Stegostoma tigrinum: one gene and its partners. The protein of the gene in region 1 interacts with the protein of each later gene in a pairwise test. Links are inferred from orthologs where the notes say so. Each region holds a gene or a part of one and is shown on either strand. Other genes may lie near its edges. The genes, in order: pdlim7, serine/threonine-protein kinase PAK 5, phf1 and zmynd11.

The links.
Region 2: the proteins of pdlim7 (region 1) and serine/threonine-protein kinase PAK 5 interact in a two-hybrid assay, tested with the Homo sapiens proteins (2 studies listed by BioGRID and IntAct). The two-hybrid records come from large-scale screens. The link is inferred for Stegostoma tigrinum from reciprocal best matches to the Homo sapiens genes PDLIM7 and PAK5.
Region 3: the proteins of pdlim7 (region 1) and phf1 interact in binary tests that used the Homo sapiens proteins (3 or more experiments, as listed by UniProt). The two-hybrid records come from large-scale screens. The link is inferred for Stegostoma tigrinum from reciprocal best matches to the Homo sapiens genes PDLIM7 and PHF1.
Region 4: the proteins of pdlim7 (region 1) and zmynd11 interact in a two-hybrid assay, tested with the Homo sapiens proteins (2 studies listed by BioGRID). The link is inferred for Stegostoma tigrinum from reciprocal best matches to the Homo sapiens genes PDLIM7 and ZMYND11.

The regions. Positions count from the first base shown.
Region 1 is NC_081366.1:43,155,053-43,162,736, forward strand, and holds the start of pdlim7 (PDZ and LIM domain protein 7), read left to right. Parts: upstream 1-4,674; 5' UTR 4,675-4,778; intron 4,779-4,784; exon of another isoform or gene 4,785-4,939; 5' UTR 4,940-4,963; coding exon 4,964-5,059; intron 5,060-7,684. UniProt on the Homo sapiens protein: May function as a scaffold on which the coordinated assembly of proteins can occur. May play a role as an adapter that, via its PDZ domain, localizes LIM-binding proteins to actin filaments of both skeletal muscle and nonmuscle tissues.
Region 2 is NC_081362.1:7,933,086-7,941,006, reverse strand, and holds the start of serine/threonine-protein kinase PAK 5, read right to left. Parts: upstream 3,016-7,921; 5' UTR 2,881-3,015; intron 1-2,880.
Region 3 is NC_081387.1:17,109,882-17,117,509, forward strand, and holds the start of phf1 (PHD finger protein 1), read left to right. Parts: upstream 1-4,627; 5' UTR 4,628-4,824; intron 4,825-5,708; exon of another isoform or gene 5,709-5,992; intron 5,993-7,628. UniProt on the Homo sapiens protein: Polycomb group (PcG) that specifically binds histone H3 trimethylated at 'Lys-36' (H3K36me3) and recruits the PRC2 complex. Involved in DNA damage response and is recruited at double-strand breaks (DSBs).
Region 4 is NC_081355.1:137,701,977-137,709,343, forward strand, and holds the start of zmynd11 (zinc finger MYND domain-containing protein 11), read right to left. Parts: upstream 3,008-7,367; 5' UTR 2,892-3,007; intron 1-2,891. UniProt on the Homo sapiens protein: Chromatin reader that specifically recognizes and binds histone H3.3 trimethylated at 'Lys-36' (H3.3K36me3) and regulates RNA polymerase II elongation. Does not bind other histone H3 subtypes (H3.1 or H3.2).

The DNA of each region.
Region 1 (7,684 bases):
ACAGCAGACCAAGCAGCATCTTAGGAGCATAAAAGCTGACGTTTCGGGCCTAGACCCCTCTGATGAAGGGTCTAGGCCCGAAACATCAGCTTTTATGCTCCTAAGATGTGGCTTGGCCTGCTGTGTTCATCCAGCTTCACACTTTGTTATCTTGCATTCTCCAGCATCTGCAGTTCGCATTATCTTTAAGTAAGTTGCAGTTAGGTAAAGTGGAAGCTGGTAGACTGATCATGAGAAATATTAGGATTAATCAAGGTTTCCAGAACACAAGCATATGGAAGACGGTTTCAATAACATGAAAGTTTAGGGCAGTACGCAGCGGATAATGTTATAGAGATGCACATATATAATCGTTTCATTGGGGAAGATAACAATTAGAACCGTACCCTGTGATTAAGTAGAACATTGGGATTGTGCACAGCTGGGTTCACTACATATTGATGCCACCGTTGCCCCTTAGGCAAAAGTTTCTAAATTAAACTCCCACGCCAGCTACTTCAGTTAAAATCGAGTCTGACTGTAAATACAGTATTGAGGGAGTGCTGCATGGCTTTCAAGATGAAATGTCAAACTAAGGTCTCACCTTCCTCTCAGGGACAAGTAAACAATCCAAGGCACCATTTTTAAGAACAAAGGAGTTCTTTTCAGAGTTCTTGTCAACATTTGTCCCTTAACTAATATCATTTAAAATGTCATCTGGTCCTTATCACATTACCACTGTCAAGTTGATAGTGCAAAATGTGACTGCTGTGTTTAGAATCCAAAAGCGAAGTCACTTTAGTAAATCTTTATTTTGCACTAATTGACCTCAATTGTAGATTATCAAATGAAGCTTATGGAGGTTTTATGGAGGTGCAGAAAAGAAAACTTACTAATATAATTCTAGGAACAAAACACTTCAGCTACGTTGATGTATTGTAGAGGCTGGAGCTGTTCTCCATTAAGAGAAGTTTGAGATTTCATATTAGCTTTGAAAATGCTTGTAGGGTTTAGACAGAGTAGAGAGAGGGAAAGTGTTCTTATTGCTGGATGGGTCAGTAAACTGAGGAGACAGATTTAAGATGATTGGCAAAGGAATCAAATGCAACTTGAGGAAAATCATTTTGATGCAGCAAGTGACTAAAATCTGGAATGCACCACACAAGAGCATGATGAAGGCAGAATTAATGACAGCATTTCAGAAGAAATTGAATAAGAACCGGGAAATTAAAGACTTGCAGGGCTTATGGCAAAAAAAAATGACAGGTCCAAGGGTCCAGCTGTATTGCTCTTGCAGAGAGCTGGCATGCATATAACTGACAGAATGGTCTCCAATGCTGTAATCATTCGATGATTATATCCTGTACCAGATGTCAGGCAAGCAGTATTATACTATTATACAAATGTAGGGATAATTAGACGACTGAACTAATAATGTGAAGCCATGAGTTTCAAATTTGAATGCAGTTAATTAATCAGTTGAAAATCTGATAATAGTAATGATGATCATGACGTATTGGAGTGATATATCTACATAAAAATGTGAGTGACTAATGCCCTTTGGAGAAGAATCTACCATCTTTACCCTGTTTAGCTTGCAGGTGACTACAGACTGTGATGATTACAGAGGTTCAAGGAGGCAGTTCATTATCACTTTCTCAAGTACATTCAGGATGGGCAGAAAGCACTGGAGTTGCCAACAACATCCAAGTTCAGAGAATAAATTTTGAAGAAATACCTAGCAGTATAAATGATGGATATTGCCAGGATACATACTGATCCCCAGAACAGCATCTGGATAATGAAGAGATGCCAATGATGGATCTAAGTTAATGATTGTTTTGAGGAATAAATGTTATTAGTCGGGATGCTCTGGCTTCCTTTGTGTAGATGATTGGATGGGACTAATGGACCCAAACTGGACCACAGAGAAAGTGTGTTGGAAGATGATGGTGTGTTTGGTGTGTAAAAGGGTGAACATGGGGCGAAAAGAATAAACAGTGACAAAACATCACACACAAATCCAGAAACAGAATATAAATTCCTAATTTTGATTAACATTGCTGAGAGAGTGGCAGAAATGGGTGATGTTGGAGGAACAAAGTCATTTATGAGATCATTGTCAGGGGCTATTTGTTAGTCTGGAGACCGTTCTTAATTCTGTCTGACTTTCATTAATAAAAAGTGATTATCCCCAGTGTAGGGCTCTCTACATGGGAGTCCTTCCACTTTCCATTGGGGATCTGGGATGGAAAGTGTTGCACGCAGCAGTCCCTTACAACTGCAGATTGTAGGCATTCACAGACTCCCAGCCAAACTGTTTATTTTGTGGCACTGTGGAGCCCATGGGCCAAGTATATATTGGTTGTGGGCAATGCACACCCATTTTAGTTATTTAAAAACTCTTTTGTTGTGTTTTGGGTTGCACTTTAGCACCACACTCCTGATCTTTGGGTAACTGGTGTGGACAGATAGGACGATGTCCTCATGGGTCTACTCCTGGACCTGGCTAGGCTGGTGATAAACAGGTCCATGCAGCGGGCAGTGAAGAGGTGATCTCTGCCAGCCGTCTGCATGTCTTCCCTCAATTAACTTCTTGCCTGAGTATCATTGGAGAAGAAGCATGCTGCATCCATCAATGTTCTTGAAGCCTTTAGAGGAGGATACAGTACTTTATTACCCCCTCCAAATCCATTTGATTTAGTCCCTTCCCACTTCCCCTCCTCTCTCACACCTCACTTTTGATGGTTAGCATTGTGTGCAATGGGCTTTGCTTATAAATATTCAAATAGCTACACAGGATGTTTTAATGCGGGTGGTCAGTAGGTTAAAAACAAGCACAAAAATGTTGCCATGATTTTGGTGGTGGGAACGTAGCTCAAAAGAAAGAAGCGGCTCTATTTATTGAATGTGTAGATTGTCACTGTGTCTCCGGACTTCAAGTCTCTCCTCCTAGGAAGGCAAACAATGGACAGTCCAGAAATAGTACAATGTTTAATTTCTGTCGCATTCTGTATCTATTGGTCTAAAAGGTCCTAGTATCAGAGATGTTCAGAAATTTGTCCCAAAGCTTCAAAGTCAATGCAATCCCAGTCACAATAGTACAGCAGTGCAAAATGTCTTTGGCAAACTGAGTACGATCTGTTTTTGGTTGGAAGTTCTGGGGTGGTTTAAAAGAGTGTAAAATAGCAACTGTATGGGTTCTTAAGGTGCAATGGTACTGTCCCCAAACTGAGGCAAGAGATCTGGGTTCAAGTTTCAGCTGTTCTAATGATGTGACTGGGGAATTATTTAAGACAATAATCTAGGGTGATGAAATTTTGTAATCTGTCAACATAGCTGAAGTATTTTGTCTTCAGAATTATATTTGTAAGGTTTTCCTTCTGCACCAAGCCTTCATAACCTTTATGCGATAAACTACAACTGAGGCCAATTAGTGCCATATAAAGATTATTCAAGTGACCTTGCTTTGAGATTCTAAACACAGCAGTTACATTATACACAGTAAACTTCACAGTAGTAATAGGATAAGGACCAGATGATATTTTCTGTGTTGTAGTTGAGGGGCAAATTTTGCCAAGAACATTGAAGAGAACTGCCTTGTTCTTCAAAATAATGCCCTGGATTGTTTAATTCGCCCTGAGACCTTGGTTTGAAATTTCATCTTCAAGACTGTGCAGTACTCCTTCAATACTGTATTGGACAATCAGGGTAAATTTTAGCTGAGATAGCTAGTGTGGGAGTTTAATCTGATTGCATGCTGATTTCTAATTGTGTAACCATCCACAACAGACAGAAACGTGTTTTTTTATTTCTGTAAACTTTTAGGTTCAGAGTGGCGCAAAAACGAAAAAATACCGGCGTAGCTTTTGAACAATTATTAATTCCATTCCGCCCGCTCTCCTAACATTTATTTTAATGATTTTTTTTCGAAATGCTCATTACTTTACTACTTGCTATGCTTTGTGTAAACTACATTTTCTCTTAATTTCCTTGGGATGAGATTTAATGCTGCTTCTTTATCTGAATCATGAACTCCTTGTAACGTGTGTCGCCGTCTGTGTTATCAGACACACCCGAGTCCTGTTTTTGACTCCAAGGTTTAGAGCCAGACTGCTGGGCGTGACGTTTTGTTTGGTCGGAAGAATCAAGTAATTGCTTTATTTTGCAGGAGTATATGAAGCTCGGTGCTAACTAGAAACTTGCAGTGTTTTGACACGAGAGCAATCAGCGGTCATTTAGCAAGAGAAACAAAGAGGCTACTGCCTGTTTCCCTGGAGGCATCGCATGGCAAATTTGAGGTGCGCCCTGTTCCTGGCATTTCCTATGATGTAATTCTGGCCTGATAAATGGGCCATGTTGTATCACGAACTCCTTGCCATTTTTTTTAAACCAAGGGAACACTTCTCACCACTTTATTCCCCCTCTGATCAAAAGTGGGGATCAGAGAACACTGTTGATTAAGGAATAAGACATCTAACACACAACTGATTTCCATCAGTATTTGACTCTTTTAAGATGTAAACTTTTTAAGTTTTACCGTAAATACTGCGGGAGTCAACTCACTCCAGTAATCTCCAGGCAACATCAAGTGACTTCAATTTAAAGTATTGCACTGTGTTCTTAAAAAAAGTCTCTGGTTGAAAGTCTTAAGATTGGACGGGAAATGGCAGAGTGACGTGTTGTGTGGCGCTTGAATTCCCTGGCGTGAGTCATAAAAAAGTGCTGAAAGTGTTGGTGTAGTTTTACACGCCTTATATAGCCTGGAAGCTCGGAGCTGTCATTCTCCGTAGGATAAAGTGAGTGGCTGTATCGCCGCGGATCTACCTCCCTCTTTCTCCCTCAGTTCTGGGACTGCGCTCAGTTGTTTCCTAATTCCACCGCCCCCCCCCAAAAAAAGTTTTCTGATTCGGTCTTTAGACAAGCAAACAAAAATAGAGAGCCGTTGTTTTTTTTCCAGCAAACAGCAACCTCTCCACCGACGATGGAGTTGTACAAAGTGACCCTGGAAGGACCGGCTCCGTGGGGTTTTAGACTACAGGGAGGAAAAGACTTCAACAAGCCTTTAACCATGTCTAGGGTGAGCGAGGGTGACCAGATATATCCTCTTTTATTCTCTCTCTCTCTCTCTCTGTACTTGTTACCTGTTTGTTTCATGAAGTGGCAAAGTCAAAGCAGGGTTTGTGACATTTTAAGACTAAGCAAGTTGAGTAACCCCCTACTAGCCATGCAGTCTCACTTCATGCTTTTTGAACTCCCGGTGTAATCATTCGGGCACCAAGTTTAAAACGCACCCTCTGATGTAAGTGTGTGCTGCAGTTGCTTCATGTTCCGAAGCGAAGGGAGTTAGGGCGTTAGAGGGGTACTGCGGCTTTTCAGCTGATGGCTGCACGCGGCTTCGTGTCCTTTAGTTCAGAAACCGTGAAATTAACTCGCAGGCGTTTTGTGTTTGAGAGCCAACAATTCCTGACTTCGAAGGAACCCAGAGTAACGTGTTAATGCAACACAGGGTGGTCGTGTGATACAAAATGGTATCTTTAAAATCGCAGTATTGAAAGCATTCCAGCGTGATTCTTGCATATCAGGAATGTGAAGGGATTAGTAAAAGGCTGAAGCTTCCAACTACACTGAGAACGAGCAGTGTAAATTGATCTGACCCCTCTGAGTAGACTGCCAGCAATCTCTTCTTCGAACGGACCAGATGAGGTCACTATCACATCTCATAGTCTTTTATTTAGGTCCAATACCAAATATCTTACATTCGAATGCAAACGTTTCGACAGCTATTTTGTTTTTTTAAAAACTGCATTTTAACGCGTTCTGATTATTGCTTATAATGTTGTCTCGCAACATAATTTGATTCTGAACCCAGTGATAACTTTAATACTGTAGTTCCAAACTGAGGCATGCTATCTTCGAGTAAATGTTTCAATTCTTTGTTACCTTCAGATAAGCTAGATGATTTTCTTTTGAATAAATCTGATTTGAAAAGGATCATTGCTGCAGTCTTTTGCAAGAATGCATTTATTTGCCCTAATTTATTACCATTTAAAATTTATTTTGGAATAATTTTACTGCAGTGTTTTAAAAACAGTTCTTTTATGACTAAAATTCTCTTGCGATCTATCCTCACTCTTCCAAGAGCAAGGAAGATTCTTTTCTTATGACCAGATATGGGCAAGAGTTTCAGCATGGAGAAGAAGGATAACAACTCCATATAGGTCTCAGAACTTGCATTATTGAAAGGGTTTATTGAGGTTGCATGTTAATGCTGCATCCATATTTGTACTTGCTCTTATTTTATGTGCTTTCTTTTGCATAGCTTAGTTTACTTTAAGGTATATTTGGCATCAGTGTATTGATTGTTGTCATCATTCATTTTATCACAATGTTTTAAGCTCTGGGATTTTGTTTTATTTAAAGTCTGTAAATTTTCCAGTCAAGAAAGCATTTTGTAATTGTATTCTACAACCAGACATTTGACTGTTAGAACAGCAGTGTTCTGTAGATTGTTTTAAATACTGCAAGCTAAAAGCAAATTCCAGACTGTCTACAACTTGTACAGAAAACACCCCCCATGCCACAATCCTCGGCCCTGCAGCTCATTCCACCCCTACTTTTTCTCGTTCCCCTCTTAGCAGGTAGGGACCTTTGCAATACGCTTTTAACACCTATTTCCTTGAACTAACTTTTGGCCACTACTATCCCCTTGTTTGGTTTGATGTTATACATTAAGAAGTTTTTAATTAACTTGTTGTGATGCTTGTCTGGAGCAGATGGTACTTGTACAAGGACGTTTTGACCACTGAACAATGAGCCTTTCATACTTGGTTTTGCGCTTGCTCCTTGCGACATAATATTACATTAAGGGTATTATTTAAACAGTTGTTATCCCCTGGTCACCTCAGCTCCACCCCCCCCCGCACAAATCTCTCCATATGCTTCAACGTGCTGATTTCCTCTCACAACCCTCCTTGTCTTGCGACATTGCCTCGCCTCAGATCCCCTATCATGTTCCACCCAATTAAATAGGCTTTCTTTAAAACTATATACAATTATATTTATATATACAAGCCGAGTAAAGTGATGAATACATTTGAATATTTCCAGAGTGTTGCTAATGCAGTAGAATGGAGCGGCAACTTGAACTTTACATAGTCTTAGCAAACGATAGGCAAAGTTGGGGCTTAGAATGTGAGGTGGAGGGGAAGAGTGTGAAATCTGTTGAACAAAAGGGTGGCACGGTGGCTCAGTAGTTAGCACTGCAGCCTCACAGCGCCAGGGACCCAAGTTTGATTCCAGCCTCAGGCAACTGTCTGTGTGGAGTTTGCACATTTTCCCCGTGTCTGCATGGGTTTTCTTCAGGTGCTCCAGTTTCCTCCCACAGTCCAAAGATGTGTGGGCTAGGTGGATTGGCCCATAGTGCTAAATTGCCCATTGTGGTCAGGGGTGGATGGGTTTGGGTGGGATGCTCCAAGTGGCAGTGTGGACTTGTTGGGCCAAAGGGCCTGTTTCCACACTGTTTGGAATCTTAAAGAAAAGCAACATGATGCACAAAATTTTGGCTATTGGAATTTCTTACTGTGAAGTAATGTTTGTCCTTGGCTGCAGTTTTCTTTTGCTGGTTGATCCATGTTTCCTAATGCATTTGGATCCCTCAGATGTGTATAATTAAACAAAAAGCTACTATGAAGACAGCAATGGA
Region 2 (7,921 bases), on another chromosome or scaffold:
TTTGATGGTGAGTACTCAATGTTCAGCATAATATGCAACTCCCTCAGCTACTGAAGCAGTCAACGTCCAAATGCAGCAAGAACTGTATCTAGGTTTTGGCTGACAAGTGGCAAGTAACATTTTCATAACAAAATTGCCAAGCAACAAGCATCTCTAATAAGAGAGAGCCTAATCAATGTGCCTTGCGATTCAATGACATTATCACCACAAAAACCTCCACTATCAACATCCTGGTGGTTACCATTGGCCAGAACCAGAATTGCACTAGTCATGTAAGTGTAGTGACAAGAGCAGGTCAAAGACTCGGAACATTATAGCAATTTATTCGCCTCCAGACTCCCAGAGCTTGTTCACCAATTACAAGGAACAAGTCAAGAATATGATGCAATTTTTGCCTCGATGAGTGCACTCCAACAACACAGGAAGCCTGGCACTACCGAGGACTAAGTAGCTTGCTAGACCAGCACCACATCCACAAACATTCACAGCCTTAACCACCGACACTCAGTAGCAGCAATGTGTGCCATATAAAAGATGCATTGCAGAAGTTCACCAAGGCTCTTTAGGTTCTAGATTACCACTACCATCTAGAAAGACAGGATAAAAATGCATGGAACACCACCACCGGCAAATTCCTCTCCAAGCTACACCCCATCCTGACTTCAATCTTTATTGCTGTTCCTTAACTGTTTCTGGGCAAAATTCCTGGAATTCCCACCTTAGCAGAATTGTTGGGGTTTAAGATGACAAACCACCACCTTCTCAAGGACAGCCAGAGACTACCAATAATCACTAGAGATAATGGGAACTGCAGATGCTGGAGAATCCAAGATAATAAAATGTGAGGCTGGATGAACACAGCAGGCCCAGCAGCATCTCAGGAGCACAACTAGTTCCATCAGTGATGCCCACATCCCCAAGAATGAATTTAAAAACCTGAACTCCCATTCCCTCCCTATGAGCATCTCAGATTGCGAATACGACGGTTAAAACAAAAACTGGAAGACCAATCTGGAAGAGAGCCAGGTTAGTCTACTTGACTACGAGATCCTTGATTAGGGTTTTTAACCCTGGGCCAGTCCTGGTGGCTGACAGATATAAACAGAAGATTCAAAGAGTCTCCTTATTCAAGGGGCTGGCTGTGAGCTGACTGGTCAGAGCCCATGAACTGTGCACATCGAAATATAGAATGACTTGGTGATGGGATAGCAGTCTCTATGTAGTTATTTCAGAGGCATATTTGATTTTTCCTCTTTTAAAGGATACACATGGATATGGTTTAATAGTGAACTTCAACCGTTTTGAGAAAAGACATTAAATATTCCAGCACTACAGGTAAAGAAAGAAAATATTCTGTCCCACTCCGAGTGCTGCCAGCCAACAAGTATTGTTTTCAACAAGAACTAGGAAAATTTTAAATCAATTTGCAAAGCTAAAATCATTAAAATCAAATGATCCAATTACCAATGTAGACGCTATCGTTAACCACCACTGTAATGGCTGCAATGTTCTACTTCCGATGCTTCGTGAAGTACTCAAAGACTAACTGTTCTTTGAAACCATTTTGTTTGGGCTCACTTCTTATTGCTAATCTCTGTGTGCCGCATTGCATTATTATTTCTTCTCCTAGTCATTAATGAACTCACTCTTTTGATATTCAAGAAAGTCTCTTTAAACTGGGTCTAAAACTCAAGTTAATTTATTGTAGAAGATAGATATCTACAAAGAAACCAGTTTGTCTTTCTTCATACAAGCTCCATACAAGATTTGGGGTATCCCATCTGAAACCATAATGACTTGAAGAACATTACCTGGAGTCTGATGGTAACGACGTCTCAACAGAAAAGACCAATTAGCAATTGACAAAACTCAAAGTACGAACAATAGCCGAATGTGTTTACTTTGTAAGTGTGTGCAATTTATCCCACCATTCAAGAAGCAAATATAGCTAAGTCAGCAATATGAGTATTTTAAAAACTACCAAATTAGAAAGTTCCGTTAAAATACAAATGTTACCAACTACAGATGGAAATATCAAATTGCGTAATTTTACTTTGTACTCAGTACAATAGCAAGAAGCATATATAGAAAATAAAACCAACACAAATCTTTTCCAGAAACCATATGATCATTCGAAAGAAATGACATCTTGTCTGACGAGTCAACCACCATAAGGTTCTTCGAAGATACTCCTCCAAATTTCTGAGATACGTGTTTCCTAATCTGTTATGAAAACTTTCATATACGGTTATGCACGTCGCTCTTCCTTGCAATGTTGACAGATAAAAAAAACTTTTCCACTTCAAACCCGTGAAAGTATTGTACTACAGAATATGATGTACAAAGCTGGAGGGTACTGGATAAAGGGAATGCCAAAGAAAGGGGAACCTCGATTCAAATGGTCATTCATTCAAGTGGAAGAACGAACCAAGCAGCAAACGTGTGACAACGCTGACATGAAAAGGGGAAGGAGACGAAGAGAGCGCCTTTTGTTTGTGATGGAACTGGGGGGGCGGGGGGAGAATGATCCCAAGTGTCATTTAAATTGTAAGGGGAAAATAAAACTGACATTTCCTGCGGGAAGAGACACAATCCGGCACTGGTTTGTAAGAGATGGTCGGTTCTCCACAACGTTGCACCTGTTTCCTACCAGAGAGGCAGATCCGAAAGGATACCCGTCGAGGCTAATTTCAGCACCGCGTTCTTTGTCTGTGAGGCTGAGGAGTAAAGTTAATATCGCTGCCCTCTCTCAGAACGAAACAAAAAGCTGCTGTCAGGGCGCGCTTCAACCGTTTTCTCATCGCTAGCCGTCAGATCGAAGCATCATCGACACAATGTCACTGACATTTACCTCATCCCTAATGCGCGAATCAATCTTACCTTGTCCGAGCCTTCATCAATTACAGCTGCAGAAAAATAACGATGTGTCCATCTGTCTGTCTAAGGTGACGATAGCCGGCTTTCCCTCTCCTGTTACTCCACCGACGACGCCATGTTACCCATCCACTGCCGGCAGAGCGGCGGCCACATCCGGGGAGCGGGAAGGGCGGGGCCAGGCACGCGGTGGGCGGGAACCAGATGGGAGGGTGGGGCAATCCGGTCGATGGGCGGTCTCACCCAGGAGAGGGGACGGGCCAAAGGCGGGGGAGGGCGGGACGCTGGCGGTGAAGGCGGGGCCAGCCGCACGAGGGCATGAGACGCGTAGAGGGCGGGGCTACAATGAGGGGCGGGGAGAACACGCGAAGGGTCGGGGCAGGGCGGCGGAGGTTGGGGTCCATCCAGGTGACGGACTGGTGGACACGTTGCACCGGTGGGCGGTGACAGGAGGGGCACAAGGGGGCGGGCTGCGCGCTGTGGGCGGGGAAACAGGCGGCTTCTGGGCCCGGGGAGCGGGAAAGTTGTGCACGTGCGTACGTTCTCCTTGAGGGGGGTTGTTGGCGGGTCAAGGATGGGGGTCTTGGATTGGTACAAGACGAGCGGTGGGCGGTGCCTGGATGCAATGGGCGGGCCATAGTGGTAGGGGGCGTGGCTAGGGCGCCAGTGAAATGGGCGGGGTCGGAATTGCCTGAGAAAATGGAATGTTTCCTGGGAGCTCCGGTGAGCCCGTGGCTCATTCATAACAATGGGCCATGCCCATGCCGCCTTGTAGCAACATCTCAGAGGAACACAAAACCTAGGGATTTTATAGCTCCAATCACCCATACGGGCGTAAAAACCGTCTCTTTCAGTTCTTGTTAACCTGCAAAACGTTTCTCGTAACTAATTTCCTCACGTGGCCCATAACCAGCTCTTAATCATTCAGACACTTCCCAAATTCGGCGAAGTTTAGCGTGCATTTTCCATGCGTTGCAAGTTAGACCGTTGCAATCAACGTTGTTTCAAACACAATGGAGAAGACCAAGCTGGTGGGTCTTAGTTGCGAGGAAGAGTCACCGGACCCGAAATATTAACTCTGATTTTTTTTCTTCACAGATGCTGCCAGCCTGTTGAGCTTTTCCAGCAACGTTTGTTCCTGATTTACAGCACCCACATTTCTTTCGGTTATTATGAAGCTGGTAATTCTGCCTCCTTCAAGAAACTGAGTTGTTCCACCTCCCTAGTTTAGCAAGACGTCATTATATTGGTCTTTGTTTAAGACATTCCTCAGCGTTAACTCTCTCAAGACTTCCACTATTATATAACAATCATATTGACACTGGTGTAGTAACCTAAAAGCTTCAGAGATAGCAACTCGTGGAATATAAGCAACTGTCTGTCCGAAGGCAATGATATCAACATTAACGGAAATATTAAGTCAGCTTCTCAATTCTGTCAAAAAGTTCTGCAAGTCTCAAAACATTAACTCTATTTCTCTGTCCACAGATGGTGTCAGACTTTGAGTTTTTTGAATATTCTCTGCATTTGTTTCTGATTTCCAACATCCGCAGTAATTTGTCTTTATTTGAAAGGTTACTAATGATGGGAGGATCAAAATGAGATGCTTCAGGAGTCTCTCAACCTGTTCACGATCATGACAGCAAAGCATTTCAATATGCCGTGTTGACTGAAGCCCTAAGGACTATCTAACCTTAGTACTGTGCCATGATCGTGCACTATCTCTCTGCTGTCTTTTTACCTAATAGACAGTAGGACACATAATATTTTGATACTTGAAAGTGGGATTGCCCAAAGAAGTCAAGGAAAATCAAGTAGAAAATGAGACAACAAATATAAATCAAGCTAAGAACCACAAGGTGCATCACATGCAGATGCATGAGACATGTATGTGTTGCTGTGCACTTAGCAGCCTGGCAGAAGCATTCAGTCAAAAGACCTCCAAAGAAAAGCATTGAAAGGGTGAATAGTGTGGGAGTTGGACCAGGAACAGCTAGCTGATGTGATGAAATTGGTGGTTTGTTCTTGTCAGCTTGCACAGATGAAGGACCGAGGATGATAGTGTCCATGGAGCATTCAGAGCAATTGTGATGAAGACACAGTTGGAGGATGGCTTGTGAAATGGCATCAGGAACACCAAGGCCAGACACCGGACTCCGCTAAGCAAGAGAGGCAGTTTACTTCAGGGATGAAGTTTGGTGTAGGAATCACAGCAATAGCCTAAAGGCCAGGTGTGGTGACATATAAAGTTTGAGTAGGTACGATGGTCCTGAAGAAGCACATGAACCATATGAAAATAACATGTTCCCTGCTCCTTGACTGCTTTTCCAACAGTTCCAGAATGCTTGGGTTCTCCTCTTCGGTCAAGCATTTTCAAGATACCTGGCGATCTGAGGTAGACGTGGTGGATGTTACCACCTTGATGCCTTTGCCAACGGAAGAGGAGAGTAAATTTCTTCCAAGATGTGCAAGTTACGTTACACTTGCACGTATCAGTGCCAGAGTTGGCGGAACCTGGTGCTAAAATGGCCCAGGAGAAGCTACAAAATAAAAGAATTAGTCTACGTCCTTGGACTCAGTGTTGGATCTAGTGGGACTCTTGTGTCATGCTGGCAGCAACTACAATGGTTTGCCGGCCTGACTCCTGAAGAAAATTGTAATCATTTGGCTGGGGCTTTGCTTTGTTTTGGGGTTTTGCTGTGGGATGACATACAGTGCCTCTGTTCAGTCGTGAGTGAGGCTATACAATTTCCTTCACTCAGGTGGTGTTTCCCAAGCTCAGTCAGACTGGTGAGGGGGTCCACTTCTTTTGGAATACCTTGCAACTTGTATGCTCCATTTTTCTGCATTTTCCAATGATAAAGCCAGTTGTAGTATCTGAAGTCCAGGAAGGCTTCAGCTAGTGGGCGCTTTTGCATGGTTATATCATTAATCCCATTCTTGTCACCACTGAAATAACTCCCCAGAGGCTGATATCCCGTAACTAAGTCACCCTTTATTCTCAGATGGAAAGTTCTTGACACTGATCCAGTCCCCTCAGAGCCAGCTGTTAGAGTGAACAAACCTCCAACACTTCCGTTTCTATCTATTAGCCAGGGGTCCCTAATGGGACCATGTTAACAGTCCCAATCTATGAGGCTCACTTGGCTGACCTTGTTACAATCTCTACAGCTAGAACAAGCAATCAGTGAGCTGCATTTCCCAGGTACTCTCTCTGACTTGTATGTCAGGAATTTGCACCATATAGTTTCTCAGGATCGAGCAGAATTGAAAGTTGTGCATAAATAAGTCAAGTTGGGTCTTTAATTTGATGTAAATACATGGAAATGAGATACGTACCACTCAACAATGAGATACATTTAAAACTTAAGAGAAAAGTTTGAAAAAATTTTCCACAATGGTAAGATTCTGATTTCTCCATTCTCGCTATACTTTACCACCTTTCTCACCATTGCCATGCCATACCAGGAAGAGAAAAATTCCACTTTCTGTGATTGCTTGAACTGTAGAGCTTTTCCTCATAAACAGGCTCCTTAATCATTTTTAATATAAGTAAATGCCTTCTGAGCACTTAAATCTGCTAAATTATCAAATCCAACATTGTTTGAGCTTCGTATCATAAGACCATAAGATATAGGAGTGGAAGTAAGGCCATTTGGCCCATTAAGTCCACTCCGCCATTTAAATCATGGCTGACGGGCTTTTCAACTCCACTTCCCTGCACTCTCCCTGTAGCCCTTGATTCCTTCTGAGATCAAGAATTTGTCGATCTCTGCCTTGAAGGCATCCAACGTCCTGGCTTCCACTGCGCTCCGTGGCAATGAATTCCCCAAGCCCACCACTCTCTGGCTGAAGAAATGTCGTCTCATTTCCGTTTTAAATTTACCCCCTCTAATTCTAAGGCTGTGCCCACGGGTCCTAGTCTCCCTGCCTAACGGAAATAACTTCCTAGCGTCCACCCCTTCTAAACCATACATTATCTTGAAAGTTTCTATTAGATCTCCCCTCAACCTTCTAAACTCTAATGAGTACAATCCCAGGATCCTTAGCCGTTCATCATACGTTAAACGTACCATTCCAGGGATCATCCGTGTGAATCTCTGCTGGACACGCTCCAGGGCTAGTATGTCCTTCCTGAGATGTGGGGCCCAAAATTGGACACAGTATTCTAAATGGGGCCTAACTAGAGCCTTATAAAGCCTCGGAAGCATATCGCTGCTTTTATATTCCAACCGTCTTGAGATAAATGAGTATCATGTCCAATTGTGCATTCTCTCACGAATGATGACATTTGTGATTTGATGTCAAAAGATGACTAAGTGATCCCTTGTGAATGCGGGTGAACCCAAACAGGGGGTTGATGTTGGATGATGATGTCAACATTTTCCAGTAGTGCAATGCCTGGAGACCAAGCTAAGGAATTCTAACAAATGCATTTAAAATTCAGTCAAAAATCAAAGACTCATATGAGTCAGAGGTGTTAGATTTCTTTAAGGATGCTTTGAGAACATTTGTTTGACCAATTGTGTGTCTTCCTGTCTTGACTGAGCTTTAAACAAAACAGAATCTTGTGTCACCCATGCAAACAGCATTTCCTATCTACTGGAGCTGGCTTTAGGTGATGATCACCTTGAGGCTGGGCAAGTTGGCTTAGTAAGAGATGCTATTGTTGGACCACCTGTCTCACACTCACTCATGCCTATTTGTAGCAAGACAGGGCATTTGACCCTTGTAACCTGCTCAACAAGATCATGGCTGATCTCCAGTCCACATGCCCTTCTAGCCCAATAACTATTGACTACCTTGTTAATCCAATTCTATCCACCTTTATCTTAAAAATATTCAATAACCTTGCCTCCAAAGACTCATGACTGTCTGAGAGGGAAAAATATTCCTCATTTTTAGTCTTCTCAGAGGAGACCCTTTTAATTCCAAACTTTATACTTTTTAGTTCCAGTTTTTCCCACATGCAGAAGCATCTTTTCAGCATCCATCCAGTCATGTTCCCTCAGACTGCCTCACCTTTCATAGAATCCCTACAGTGTGG
Region 3 (7,628 bases), on another chromosome or scaffold:
AGTGAGGGAAGAGTGGACCAGAGTGGCCTGGAGAGAATGGTCCCTGTGGAAGGTTGACAAGGGAGGGAAGGGGAATATGTGTCTGGTGGTGGCATCCCGCTGGAGGTGGTGGAAATGGTGTCTGATGATCTTCTGAATGTGGATGCTGGTGGGTGATAGGTAATAGGTGAGTACAAGGGGGTCCCTACTGCAGTTGTGAGAGGGAAGAGAGGAGGTGAGGGCTGTAGTATGGGAGATAGATTGGACCCAGCTGAGGGCCCTGCCAACAACAGTGCTGAGGAATCCTCAGTTGAGGTAGAAGGTGGACATTTCAGAAGCTCCCTTGTCAAAATTGCCATCATCAGAACAGATGCATCGGAGGTGAAGAAACGGGGCGAGTGGAATAGGTTCTTTAGGTCTGAGGATGTATAGTCTAGGTAACTGTGGGTGTCGCTGGGTTTATGGTGGATATGGTGGCCAGCCTAAGCCCAGAAATGGAAACAATGATGTGTAGGAAGGGAAGGGAGGAGTCAGAGATGGACCAGGTGAAAGTGAGAGCAGGGTGGAAATTGGAAGCAAAAGCAAAGCCTCGACCTATTTCGCTACATGACCCATTAGAGACTCAAGTCCAGAGAAATGTTCCTCCTAAATCTATTTAAGTTTCTACTTAATTGATTCTTTCCAGCTTTTTTTCCTCTCTGAGTCGATGTAATTGCCTAGTGGAATTATTGCTGGAATATTAATTCAGAGTCCAAGGTAATGTTCTGGAAACCTAGATTTGAATCTTACCATGGCAGATGGAAGAATTTTAATTCAATTTCTTTTTAAAAAAGTCCAGAATTAAAAGTCTAATGATGACCATAAACCCATTATCAATTGTCAGGAAAAAAAGACTGTCTGGTTCACTTATGCCGTTTAGGGAAGGAAATCTAACTTACATATTCATGTGGCCTGCGTGTGACTCGACATCCACCACAAAGTAACAGCGATGGGCAATAAATGCTGACCATGCCAGTGGCACCTCCTTCCCATGAATGAAGGAAACAAAACCATGCAATTTCCACAATCTCTTTCCGAGTATACTGGCATGAACATTTCACCATGCTGAGGGCTGAAATTTTCTCAGTCCTAGTGACTGAAAGATGGCTGCATAGGTTTTTCCACCTTGGAGGTTTCACAGGTGAGGACATACTTGCTGAGGTGCCTAGTTCTCTTGAATGCTAAGGGAAACTCAGAAGTATTCACATCCTCTCCAATAACAACACCATCAGTGTTCTGTTAGACACTTGACTGCATCATATATTTTGTCAGCGATGATGCGTTTAGGTCACTGTTCCAGAGTGACTTTCCAACCTTTTCTTTCAAGAAAAGTCTTCAAAGAACTGACCAAAATCCCTTCATCTCTATTTTAGTTACCAAATTCCAAAAATGATAACGTATACTGTAAACCTTTCATCACAATACCATCATACATAGGTGGTTTTCTGCACTTCTGTAGAAAATATTAATTCCAAACATGATTAATTTACTTTAAATCTTTATGAAATTCTATCATATAATTACCACTTATTCCCTGGACGCCTCATTACTGCAATACTATTAATGACACTTCCCATCATTGCGAAATACTTGACCCAAAATAATCTATTTCCTAGTGGACACCTCAGTATATCCTGCATACTTTCCATGACCCATCCTCCATGCTTATACAAGTTTAGCTTTTCCATTTAATGTGAGGCTTAAAGTCCCCAAAGCCAGCAATATTACATGGACGTCTAATTTCCCGATTTCCATGTGACAAATGCTGACAGAGGGATCACTGAGCAACTCCCACCAATATTTTCTGTCCCTTAGTGTAGCTTGTCTCCAAAAACTGGTGATTTTCTGACTGAACTGATGGCCAAGATTCCGACAGCACACTCTCAGACTTCAGAAATGGCTTTAACACACTTCTGAACAGTCTGAGGGATTTTTCTTTTTCCCAACAATTCAGTACAGGTTTGAGTTCCCTTTGATCCCTGAGGGAAGTTGTTCAAGGGGCATATGGTTCTCCTCCAGCTATTACCATATCTTGTTTTGACATCATTCCTTGGTTCCCTCATTCCTGCCAATTTGTGATTGCTCTACCTGTTCAAAACTTGGGTTCATTTCATTGCCAGACCCTGTTCCTTAGAAACGCTTTTTCCAGAAAGAGATTTTTAAAATGACATCATGGTAAGTGTGCTTTTTGGCTGCAGTGCTGATGCCTGTCAGAAGTGGAGAATGAGATAATTCTCCAGTGCTGGCATTGAGTACCACAATTAGACGCAGGGCAAATCTCACTGTCTCTCTATAACCAACCCACTCCACCAAAACAGTGCGACGTCTGCCTATTTCCCACGGTTTCCACACCCTGGCAGCTTTGGGGCAGCTTGTCCCTTGGCCCATCGCCCATTAGTAACTGGGTTGAGCGATTGCCCGAATTCATTTCATGCAGAACCTTCACAGTTGACAAAGGAGACTTTCATCCTGTCAGAACTTCACGTCGAAATGTTTGGCTTTTGTCTCAGTCAACAGCCTGTGACTTCAGGTTTCCAGACACATTTGACAATAGCATACTCCACAGAGGATCAACTCCCGATCCAAAGCCACCACAGTTCGCCTTCTCTCTCTTGCTCTCCTACCTGCTGTTTGATGGAGCAATCCCTGTATTGTTAGTAGTTCATAGAACACAATTACAAAAAAGGGAGAACTTTTTGTCTGGTCATGTATAAAGCTTCATTTTGCTTTGCAGGAGAATTTGATAAACCTCCCTGGAGCACTTCAGAGGCAGTTTCAAAGTCAAACACGGTGGGCCCTTGGGCAGGGGATGGTATTGACAGTGACGTAGGACTGGGATTATATACAGCCCAGACTGGGTAAACAATGTGAATGAACCAGAGATAGTAGGAACTGCAGATGCTGGAGAATCTGAGATAACAAGGTGTAGAGCCGGATGACACAGGAGGCCAAATGAACCAGTTGGATTATGATGACAACCCAACAACTTCGTCATCATTTTACTGATCACAGATCCTGCTCTGGCTTTTTTTAATGAAGTAAATAAAGTTGAATTCAACAATTTTCAAACTTGCCACCTATTCTTTGTGTCATTTGCAAACTTGGCTATAGTACTTTTGCTCATCCAAGCCATTTATACATATTATAAATAATTGTGGCCCCAACACTTTGATGCCTGTGGCACACCACTATTTAGAGTTTGCCATCCTGAAAATTCCCTACCTTATCCCAACTCTCTGTCCTCTCCTAGTGAGCCAATCCTCTATCAACGCTAATATATCTTCTCCACACCATGGACAGCTATTTAATGGCCCAATGTGTGGCAGCTTATCAATCATGTTCCGTAAATCCAAATGTATAATATCCACTGTTTCCCTTTTATCAATCATGCTTGTTGTTTCCTCAAAGAGTTGTAAAAAATATTGTTAGGCGTGATTTCCCCCCTTCATGAAGCAATGCTGACTCTGCTTGATCATATTATACATTTCTGAATGCTCTGTAATTACATCCTTTACAAGAGACTCTAACATTTTCCCAAGAACAGAGCTTAAGGTCACTGGCCTATAGTTATCTTTTCCGACTCCTTTCAAAATAGCGTTTGGGGCTGTTCTCTGCAAGAAGGCGAAAGGGGCATCAGAGAGAGGTTCTCATAATCTGGATAAGACCCAGAACTGTTTAAAGCATCAGGAACGAGAGGACACGGATTTAAAGCGTTTTGCAAAAGAAGAACTAGGGTTGGGGAGCTAAACTAAAACAAATGTGCTGGGCATCTGAAAAAAAAAACAGGAAATGGCTGAGAAACGCATCTGCAGAAAGAGAAAGTCGAGCTAACGTTTCGTGTTGTGACCCATCGTCAGAACGATTAAAGTGGCTGTTCGGGCCATCGTGTCTGTACTAGCTCTTTGATAGAAATGCCAAACAGCTTTCCCACCTTTTCCTCGTCACCTTATAAATTCCCCCCGCCCCTATGCCGTCCGTTCACATAAAGTGTTGCAAAGTACCCCGTGCCGTCTTTACTTTCTGCGTGTGGGAATCTTCCCGTGCACGGGTGGCCTTTCAAAGCGAAAGAAAATTCAGTAGACATGCCCCACAAAGCCCCATCTCGATGATTTCACGATCTTTATCAAACAGGTTTACAGTCTACTCCCAAAGCTGAAGTATTTATGAGGCTAGCGACCTAATTGGGGAGAAAATTTCTCAGAATTCAACGAAGTGCCCGAGAGACGGGGTGGGGTAGGGTTTGGACTGGGAAATGTTTCACCGAAGTCAAGTTCTTTCAACTCATTCCGCCTCGTCACTGATCCTTCCTTCCCTGGCGAACGAAATGCAAAATCCCACAAGTTGTGTACAGTCTGCAAATACAGAGTGGTTCTAAACGGTTTCTGGGGAGCATGTGTTTTTATTATTTTGTAAAATAAATCATCCCTAATTATTTATTGCACTCCTAGTGGGTGTTATATAATTCAATCATGCTGCTGTCAACAGCGCAGGGCGGAAGACAATGAACAGTATTAAATGTGTGGCGAACATAACGCGCACTTGTTTACACAATTTCTCTCTCTCTCTCTCTCACACACACACACACCGATTGAATTTCAAGCCGTGGACCGAAATTAGCTGTAGTCTGCGTCACAGGAAGATGGCGACTGGCAGAGCTGTTGGAGACGTGTTGTATGTGTTTTTATCTGAGTTGAAAACCTCACTGTGAATGAGCCAAGTGCAGACACACACACACACACACACGCACACTGCTCCAGGAGAGAAACTCCCGCAGTTCATTACTGGGTGTGGAGCCAGCCGCTGCAGGTGAGTGTTTACTGTAACAGATAGCGGGGTGGGATCCTATCGTCTTGGGGAGGTTTTTAAAAAAAGGAAAAATATGCCCCAGAGAAACGGCAGGATGAAGCCCTCCGTGCAATTTTTTTTGGAACTTCCTCCGCTGGGCCAGAGAGAGAGAAAACTGCAGCAACATGCCCTGTAATGTGTAAGCAACTGGGGGCGTCAGTTTCTCAACACTCTCCCTTATACATGAGCCTTCCCTTCCCAACTCCCCCCCGTACACCTTTACAAATAGCGAGATAAAAAATATAGTCGGTGTGCAAAAAAGATATGGGAGCAGGAGGGAGAGGTTGATTTTAGCAGACGTGAGGGGACACACAAATCGCTAGATCTGCGGAACAGTAAAATGTTGTATCATTTCCTCGTCTCCAGCGGAATGTCTGATTTCCTCGAGGATCGTCAGGTCACTGGCGGGGGCAGATTTGGGGCCGAAGGAATCAGACGGTTCAGTAGGCGGCCCTTCGGCCCGTCTGAGTCTGTACCGCCAAAAGTACGCTACGTTCCGCCCACATCATCCCCTCTTTCCCTACGTGTGTGTCATACGGGAGCAAGCTGTTCCTGATCAATATTCTCTCTCTCTGCATGTTGTATTTAGGGAGGAGTTGGGGCGGGAAGGGGGGTGCGCGGAAGGATGCTGAGGTTTTTCATACTGTACATTCTTTCCTCCCCGTGGAGTTTGCATCAGCTATCCGCTCACGGCCCTCATAAGGGAAAAGGGGTGATACTTCTGCAGAACAGCCACAAGGCACACGCCCACCTGCCTCTCGCTTTGATAGTGTGTTATGCATGCAGCTTTGGAAGGGGGAAGGTCCTGGGCTGGGGTGCCCGCCTCGTTGTTTTGATTTGCATTTCGAGACTCGAATAGAGACTCTTCCACACCCCCCCCCCCCAAACCCGGCCAACAAAAACACACACACACTTTCAGATATTACGGCCAGCCAGCGCTGTTCGTTGCAATTCAGGAAGGATGTACGGTGTACGCAGGCCTCAGAGAGGGGATGCAGCACAGAATCAACTGGTTTGATACTGGCTCCGCAAGGGTTAAACTCTGTGGACAGCTTGCAAACTGTGTGCGCGTTCCCTTCGACACAGGAAGTCAAGCAGCATCCCACTCGGAGCGTTGAAAACGACCAGGGTGAGTAGAGCCGGGAGTCCAGCACATAAGGGGGCAGTTTTTCATTGGATGGTGGAAATTCGACACCCCCTCCCACCCCCCCCCCCTCCCCACCGCCAAAAGACAGTGAGACAAGAGTTGAAAACTTGCAAGTCAGGGAGTATGATGGCCACTCGCCTGGGTAGGTGCAGCTCCAACAACACTCGAGAAGCTCGACAACAGTCTAGGAAAATGCAGCCCCCGCTTAATTGGCACCACATCCACAAGCATCCGCTCCCTCCACTCCCAAGGCAAAGTGGAGGAAATGTGTGCCACCAACCAGATGCATTGTCAAATCTCCTTTGCCGGCATGTTGCAAATTCAGTGACCTTTACCTCCTGGGAGGACAAGGGCAGTGGATACATGGGAACACCGCCACCTTCAAGTTCCCCTCCAAGCCACTGTCCATCCTGACTTAGAAATATGTCGCTGTTCCACCAAAATCCTGGAATTCCCTCCCTCACAGAATAGTGGATCTGCCGACAGCATGTGGACTGCAGTGGTTCAAGAAGGCAGCTCACTACTGCCTTGGGGGCAGTTTGGATGGGCAATAAATGTTACCCAGTGATTGACACCCATACCAAATGTGACCCTACAAAAGGCTAATTTTAAAGATTTTAACCTTGAAGTTGGTAGAATATGGTGTGGGAAGGTGCCTCCCATTCTTAGAAGAAATAAAGGCACAGGCAGTTTAGCATAGACAATTTGCAGTACAGGTATGCATTGAAGAGTTGTGCATGTCTCTACACAGTAGAAATAGAGGGCAGAAAGTGTACACAGTTCTTAATATATTATTGGCTGAAGCTATTGATATTCTGTAGATTCACCATTCTGACTTAGTTTAAATTTAATTTAACAATACCAATTAATATTTGTAAAACCTAACTCCCACCCATTTAGAGATACTGTACACTTTGCTTCTGAGCCAATCCCCTTATACATCTGCTTGTGATCAGTTAGCCATGTTAGGCTGAGCTGAAAAAGAAAACGTTAAGACATTTTAGCTGTTTGAGATAAATAATGACAGGCTGTGTGCGTTTGTGAACATTCATTAAATTCCTGTCAAAAAGGATTGTTTTTAAATTTCCAATTATTTACTTAATATAGACCTTTATTTATTTTGAGGTTTACTTAGTAAAGGCAGTATACATTATGCTTTTACATAGCTTCAAGTTTAGACAGAGTTTCTATTCTATTCTTTGGTATTTATGAAGCTTGGTGTTGTAACTAACATCTGTCAGAGCAATTAGAAATATTTGGTTCTTTCTTGCTGCAACTGTGCAAAACACTAGTGCGGCTGCATTTGCAACATACAAGATGATCAGAGGAGTAGATAGGGTGGACAGTGAGAGTCTTTTTCCGAGGATGATGATTTCACCTTGTACAGGGGCTGATAGATTTAAGACAGATGACAGAGGCTGGTTCTTTACTCAGAGAGTGGTAAGGGCGTGGAACGCCCTGCCTGCCAATGTAGTTAACTCAGCCACATTTAAACAGTCCTTGGATAAGCATATGAATGATGATGGAATAGTGTAGGGAAGGGGCTTAGATTAGTTCATAGGTCGGCGCAACATCAAAGGCCGAAGGCCTGTTCTGCACTGTATTGTTCTATGTCTAT
Region 4 (7,367 bases), on another chromosome or scaffold:
AGAGGAATAGGTTATGATTTCTTAATGCTCTCCAGCACTGGGGTTTTCCTTGTTGGGGCCAGTCAAAGACTACTTGAAAGGAAGACTGATTACTCTGCGGTCAGTCAGTAATTGTTCTATCCTGCAAATAGGAAGATGACAGTAACTGAACTAGATAAGACTTGATCTTTACCCATCCTGCAATTCCTAAGCACGTAAAATAGATGGCTAAAATAAGGAATTATCTTCTGAATTTTTAAAATATGTGCACTTATCAATATTGATGGCAAAGTCAAGGAAGCAAACTCAATCATAACTAGAAATGGAGAAATCTATACTGTAAGACTATGATTCTGAACGCGGTTACGAAGTGTTGAATTCAGGTGAACATACATTCAATGCAAGATGATGGATTTGTGGCACCACCTGTTTTACGCTCTATGCTCTCAGCAGGGTCACCTCTCATGAAAGGCTTATCTATGTGCATTTGCATGGATGAATCTGCTCAATTCTCTCACAAGAATGGCTGACAACAATACTTCATGTGAGATGGGTAAAGCAGGGGCACTTGGTATGCAGCTCTTGCTTGCATATAAAATAACTTGGTGTCAATACAATGCCACTACTTGAGACAGATGGAGATTACACTATTAATTTCAATATGAATGGATTATACTTTACTCAAGTCAGGCAATGGGCGAGTGCAAAACTCATCCATAATAACAACTTCTTTTGTTTAACTAACACCCTTAACACAGGAAAACAACCCAAGTGCTTCACAGGAGTGCAGTCAGACAAAAATTGACACCACGCCAAAGGAGGTGATAACAGGTCAGGTGACTAAACTTAAAAAACACAGGAAGCAGCCCTCTCGCACCACAGCAGTAGTGCCCCTACCCCTGAAGCAAGAAACCTGGGTTCAAGTCTAAACTGCTCCAGAGGTGTGTAACAACAGCAGCAGGTTGATTAGAAAGATAGGTTAAAGGGAACCTTGATGAAAGAAGGGTGGTTTGGGGAAGAACTTTCAGAGCTGAAGACCAAGCCGTTAAGCCACACTAGCAGTGGGATATGTATCAGAATCCTGAACTGGAGGAATCCGAGCTTCTGAAGGATTGCAATCAAGTCGGGGTGGTTTTACTTCCCGAAGGGATTTCACAAGAGAATGAGAATTTTAAAATTGAGGAGTTACTGAACTAGGAGCTAATATAGGTCAACAAACAGAGAACTTACTTGATTAAATGGAACGTATTGCAGGCTAGAATATAGAGTGTGAGAGCTTAATCTTTTAGAAAACAAAAGAGGGTAGGCTAAGCCAAGAACAGAAGGTAACTAAAGCACAGGCAAGGGTAACAACAGCCGTGGCAGGATCAGAAAGAGAATGGGGCAGTTTTGGATCGACATGACATGGAGTTACAAATTCAACTTTGATTCAAATCAGATGGTCGCCGAGGTTCTATATTTCGGCCCGAGAAAACACCCAGGGAAGAGGAGGAAATCAGTGACAAGGAAAGAGTTTGTAGTTGGATAAAAACTGGTATTGATCATTTTAAGGTTAGGTTAGAAAAACGTGCAACTCAGCCCAGACTTAAAATATTTTCAAGGGATGTAAGCATCATTGGCAAGACCACTACATGCTGCTCATCTCCAGACTAACAGTCTGCCAGTACTAGAAATGGGGGAGTCATGGGAGAAAGGGGTGGGTGCTGCCTACGTACATTTGAAACCTGATAGACGATGCTGCAAAGCAGCACCATGCAGATGAGAAACAGGAGGGGGTAAAGATAGATAAAAGAATTATGGGACAACCAACTGCTATATACAAGTATGATTTAAAAGCCAATGCAAGTCAGGATCAGATACCAGCAACAAGTAAAACAGTAGCTTAGACTTCCAAACTACAGGCAAGATACATTCCTTTTAATTTATGAGGCCATAATGCACAGCAGAAACCAAAGGCTATATTTTAATTCTGGAATACTATGCACGCTTGACAGACTATTTAATACCACTGCATGTGTCACACATGTAAAGCATTACAGATTTTCAAACACATATGTACGTATCAACTGCCTGCTGTAAAATTCCCAGTCGTTTACAAAACCTAAAGTGTACTTGCCTTTATCAAAAGTGCAACGTCGGCCATTGATTTTTCTCAAAAAAAAGAAACAAGACCACAGAGAAAATGACTGACCCCCTGGCTTTCACAATTGCCACCCCAGTCATTCCAAGTCATTAGGAAAAACTGAAGTGAGAAAAGGTGTTACAAGTTAACAGTCAATTTGAAATACAACGTTTGCCACACAGACTGTGCAAATGAATACAGACACCAGGGCTAAACTGTTGATTTAAAGGTGGGCCAGCTCTACGAAACTATGATGGTTAACGTTCAAGGAGCAACCATCCATCAGAGCCCAGAGAGAGTGTTCGTAAACCCTATTAATGGTCATAGTTCCCTGGGGTCTGGTTTTCTTCTGACTTTTCCCACCCATCGCCACCTTTAAAAAGGTGAAGGAGGGGGTGGGGGGGGATGTGGAGAGACAATCTTCCCTAACAATAAAAAAAACACTGGTCTCCCGACAAGTCGGGCTTCGAACAGAAAAGTGTGTCCGGCAGCGGCAAGAGGAGGAGAACATTAAACCCCGGCCACAGGGTCTGAAGTGAAATAAATAAAACAAAGACAGAGACACACTGGGGAAGGCCGGCTCGGCCTAGCTACCGCCTGCAGCCTCTCCCCGGCTTTGGGAGTAAACCCACCCCCCGCCAAACTCCTCACTCCTCGAAAGGCGAGGCCACCCTCCCCTACAGCCGGGCGCAGACGGGCCGCCATGTTCCCGGTTTCCCACCCGCCAACACATACAGCGAGCTCCCCGGCTCCGAGTCCCCCCTCCATCCTGGACCCCGGTTCTGCTCACCTCTGCCACTTCCCGGTCGGTTATCTCCGGACGATCCGCCCGGCAGCTGAGCCGCTGTGGAGTTCCTTTCCTCCCGCGGCCCCTGTGCCCGGTGCTGGCGGGGCCTGTCAGTATCGGGCTCCGCTCGCTTCCCCCTCGGACTCGGCTCCACATCAACAACAGGGGCCCCTCCGTCCGCGCACGCCCCTCAGCGGCAGAGCTCGGAATAGCAGCAGGCAAACCTCCGCCCAACACCCTCATCCCTCACTGTGCTTCTCCTGTCCATGTCTAACCTCACTCTCCTCCTCCACTTCCAGCACCAACCCCTCACTCTCCTCCTCTACTGTCAACACTCATCCCTCACTCTCCTCCTCCAGCACCTGCCACTCACTCCTCCTCCACTTTCACCATTATCCCTCACTCTCCTCCTCCACTTTAACCCTCATCCCTCACTCTCCTCCTCCATTGTCACCCCTCATCCTTCACTCTCCTCATCCAGCACCTGCCATTCACTCACCTCCTCCACTTTCACCCTCATCCCTCACTCTCCTCCTCCACCTCTAGCACCAACCCCACACTCTTCTTCTCCACTGTCACCCTCACTCTCCTCCTCCACCTCCAGCACCATCCCCTCACTCTCCTCCTTCACTGCCGCCCTCATCCCTCACTCTCCTCCTTCACTGCCACCCTCATCCTTCACTCTCCTCCTCCACTGTCATGCTCATCCCTCACTCTCATCCTCCACCATGACCAGAAGCAGCCCCTGACTCTCTTCCTCCACACCACTCTCTCCTCCTCCATTACCACCCTCATCTCACACTCTCCTCTCCCTCTACAACACACACTCTCATCCTCCTCCTCTCCACATTACCCTCTCCCCTCACCCTCCACCATCACCCTTTCCTCCTCAAACCCCTCTACATCACCCTCTCTCCTCCACCACCACCACTACAATCTTCCCCTGCTCATCCCCCTCCTCAACCAATGTGCCCAGATCAAGGACAGATGTTTGACTGGGGAACCAGCGTGGGTGATCGCCGGCTTGTGAGACCAGTCAGGTCACAGGTGGAAGTTCCCTGCATTGATCTACTGCAGGCCTTTTATAGAAAAACTTCAGCTTATCTTTTTAGTGTTGGTCCTTATTTTTCTAACTTATACTATGATTTAATGTATGGTAATGTAACCTTCTTATGTCTCTCTCTATTTTGTACCTAAGATTTGCACCCAGATACTTAGTACCTAAGATGGCACCATGTGGGGCAACACTGTAAACATTTCACTGTGCTCCTGTACTTGATCACACTTGACAATGAACCTATTATAATTCTAATTCCCCCAACCACATCACCCTCTCTCCTCCTCCTCCACTACCATCTCCCTCTCTCCTCCCTCCACAATCACCCTCTCCACTCGTTGACCTCTTCCACCATCACTCTGTCTCTCCTTCTCCCCCTCTAGCATCACCACTCTCCATTCAACCTCCTCCACCATCACCCTGTCACTTCCTTGACCCCTCTACCATCAGGTTGTTTCCTCTTCACCAGCACCCTCTCTCTTCTTCCTCCGTCACCATCGCCCTCCCACTTCCTCTTCCTCCACCATCTCTGCTCCTACTATATGCTTTATTCTTTTTCTTACAACACTACCCTCTCTCCTCCTCCTCCACTGGCACAAGGACCCTCTCTCCTCCCTCACCATCATCACTGTCTCCACCATCATCACCCTCTCTGCTCCTCAACCTCCTCTACCACCGCTCACCTCCTCAAATATCTCCATCAATACCCTCTCTCTTTCTTCTTCATCTCCACCATCAACCACCCTTCACCCTCTCTAGTCTTCATCCTCCAGCATCACCTTCACGTCTCCTCCCTCATTCTCCACTACCCTGTACCCTTTTGATCCCTCTGCATTACTAAACATAATGATCCATCTCCATCACCAAATGCACTGATGCCTCTCCACCACCACACACATTGATCACGCTCGATTTCGAAATGTACTGATCACTGTCCACCACCAAATGCACTGATACCTCTCCAGCACCAGAAACAGTGATCCCGGTCCATCTTGATGACACTGAACATTCTCCATCAGTAAACATATTGTTCCCTCTCTATCACTGAACAGACTGATCCCTCTTTTTGCTCATTACACCACCTTCTTCTCCTCCTCCTCTTCACTGTCCTTCTCTCGCTCTTATTTTCACCTCCCTATCTCTAGAGAATTATGCTGCAATTATAACTTCAGTGACAGTGTCACTATTCCAGCAAAATACTATCTAAATATTTGCATATTGCTATTAATCCCATCAGGGCCTTTTTTATGGCAAGGTGTGGAGCTGGCTGAACACAGCAGGCCAAGCAGCACCTTCGAAGCAGGCTGCTTGGCCTGCTGTGTTCATTCAGCTCCACACCTTGTTATCTCAGATTCTCCAACATCTGCAGTTCCTATTATCTCTTTTTATGGCAGGTCTGCAGTAGAACCTAGATGATAGTTGTTGGAGCTATGATGAGTCAGAGCAGGTGTAGTTTCCAAGTCCAGATGTAAATATTTTGGAGTCATACAGCACAAAAACAGACCCTCGATCCAACTCATCAAGCAATGAAATTTCCTAAACTAAACTCGTCTCGCTTGCATTTGGTCCATATCCCTTGAAACCTTTTCTATTCATATACCTGTCCAAATGTCTTTTAAATGTTATAGCTGAAACTACAACTACTATTTCCTCTGGCAGATCATTCCTCATACTAGCCATACTCTGTGTGAAAAAGTTGTACCTCAAGTCCATCTCAAATCTCTCCTCTCCCCTTAAATAAATACGCCCTCTTGCTTTGAACTCTACTATCTGAAGGAAAAGACCTTTGGGATTCACCTCATCTATGCTCCTCATGATTTTATAAACCTTTATAGAGTCATCCCTCAACCTCCTGCACTCCACTGAAAGAAGTCCCAGCCTATCCAGTCTCTCTTTATAACTCAAACCCTCTAGTCCCAGCAACATCTTAGTAAGTCTTTTCCGAACCCTCACCAATTTAATAAAATCCTTCCTATAGCAGGGCAACCAGAACTATGCACAGTACGCCTAAAGTGGCCTCACCAATGTCCTGTACAACTGCAGCATGATGCCCTGACTCCTTTAACTAAATGGTCTGAGCAATGAAGGCAAGCATGCTAATTGCCTTCAACCTGTGACACAACTTTTGAAGAACTTCTTACCTGAACCCCGTAGGTCTCAATGTTTGACAACATTATCCAGGGCTCTACCATTTATTGTGTATGTCCTGCCTTTATTTGTTTTACCAAAATGCAACACCTTGCATTTAACCAAATTTAATGCCATCTGCCACTCCTTAGCCCTTTAGCCCCATTGATCAATGTACCTTTGTAATCTTGGATAACGTTCCCTGTCCATTATACCACCAATTTGGTTAAAACAGATATCTTGCATTGAGGATCCTGAAAACATCTCTCTGTTGGGTCTATTGAGGGCTTAGGCTTCTCATCTCTCTGGCTAGGCAGTCTTCCACACAACTTTGCAATGGGAGGATGTCCATGATAATAGATGATGAATTGTAGAGAATGAAACAGTCAGACAAGTACTGGGAATGTTTCATTATCTAAAAGTTTGCAATTGGAATTGATCATTGGCTTGGAAGGTGCTGTTTGAGGAGTTTTGGTGAATTTCTGCAATGCATCTTGTAGACCATATGCACTGCTTTTACTGAGAGTCACGGTGGAAGGAGTAGATGTTTATGGACGTGGTGCCAATCAAGCAGGTTGCTTTGTCGTGGATGGTATCAAGCTTCTTGAGTGGTGTTGGGGCGGCACTCATCCAGGCAAGTGGGAATAATACATTACACTCCTGAATCGTACCTCGTGGGCAGACAGGCTCCGCAGATTCCGAGATGACTATAGGGCCACTAATTGGACAGAATGGATTGGTCATTTTTTTGGGGAGTACAAACTTAGCCAAGTTTTTACTTTTTCAACTGTAGCTATACAGAAATGTCTTGGCTAGGTCTTGATTACAATTCTTCAGCATAGCAATTATGGGAACCACTGGAGCCCATCGGTTTGTTGGATCCAGTATCTCAATTTTCCACATTAGTAGGTTGAATCCAGTGTTGCAATTGCACTGGAACAGCTTTGGCTTGGGGTGCAATTTGTTCTGGAGCACAAGAATTTGCCGAAGTGTTGGAGTGAATCACACTGGCTGAAGATTGGCTTCCATGTTAAAAACTGAAAGAACTGCAGATGCTGTAAATCAGGAACAATAACTGAAGTTGCTGGAAAAGCTCAGCAGGTCTGGCAGCATCTGTGAAGAAAAAAATCAGAGTTAACGTTTCGGGTCCGGTGACCCTTCCTCGGAGGCAGGGTCACTGGACCCAAAATGTTAACTCTGATCTTTTCTTCACAGATACTGCCAGACTTGCTGAGCTTTTCCAGCAACTTCAGTTATTGTTGGCTTCCATGTTAGTTGGTTATATGTTCAAAACT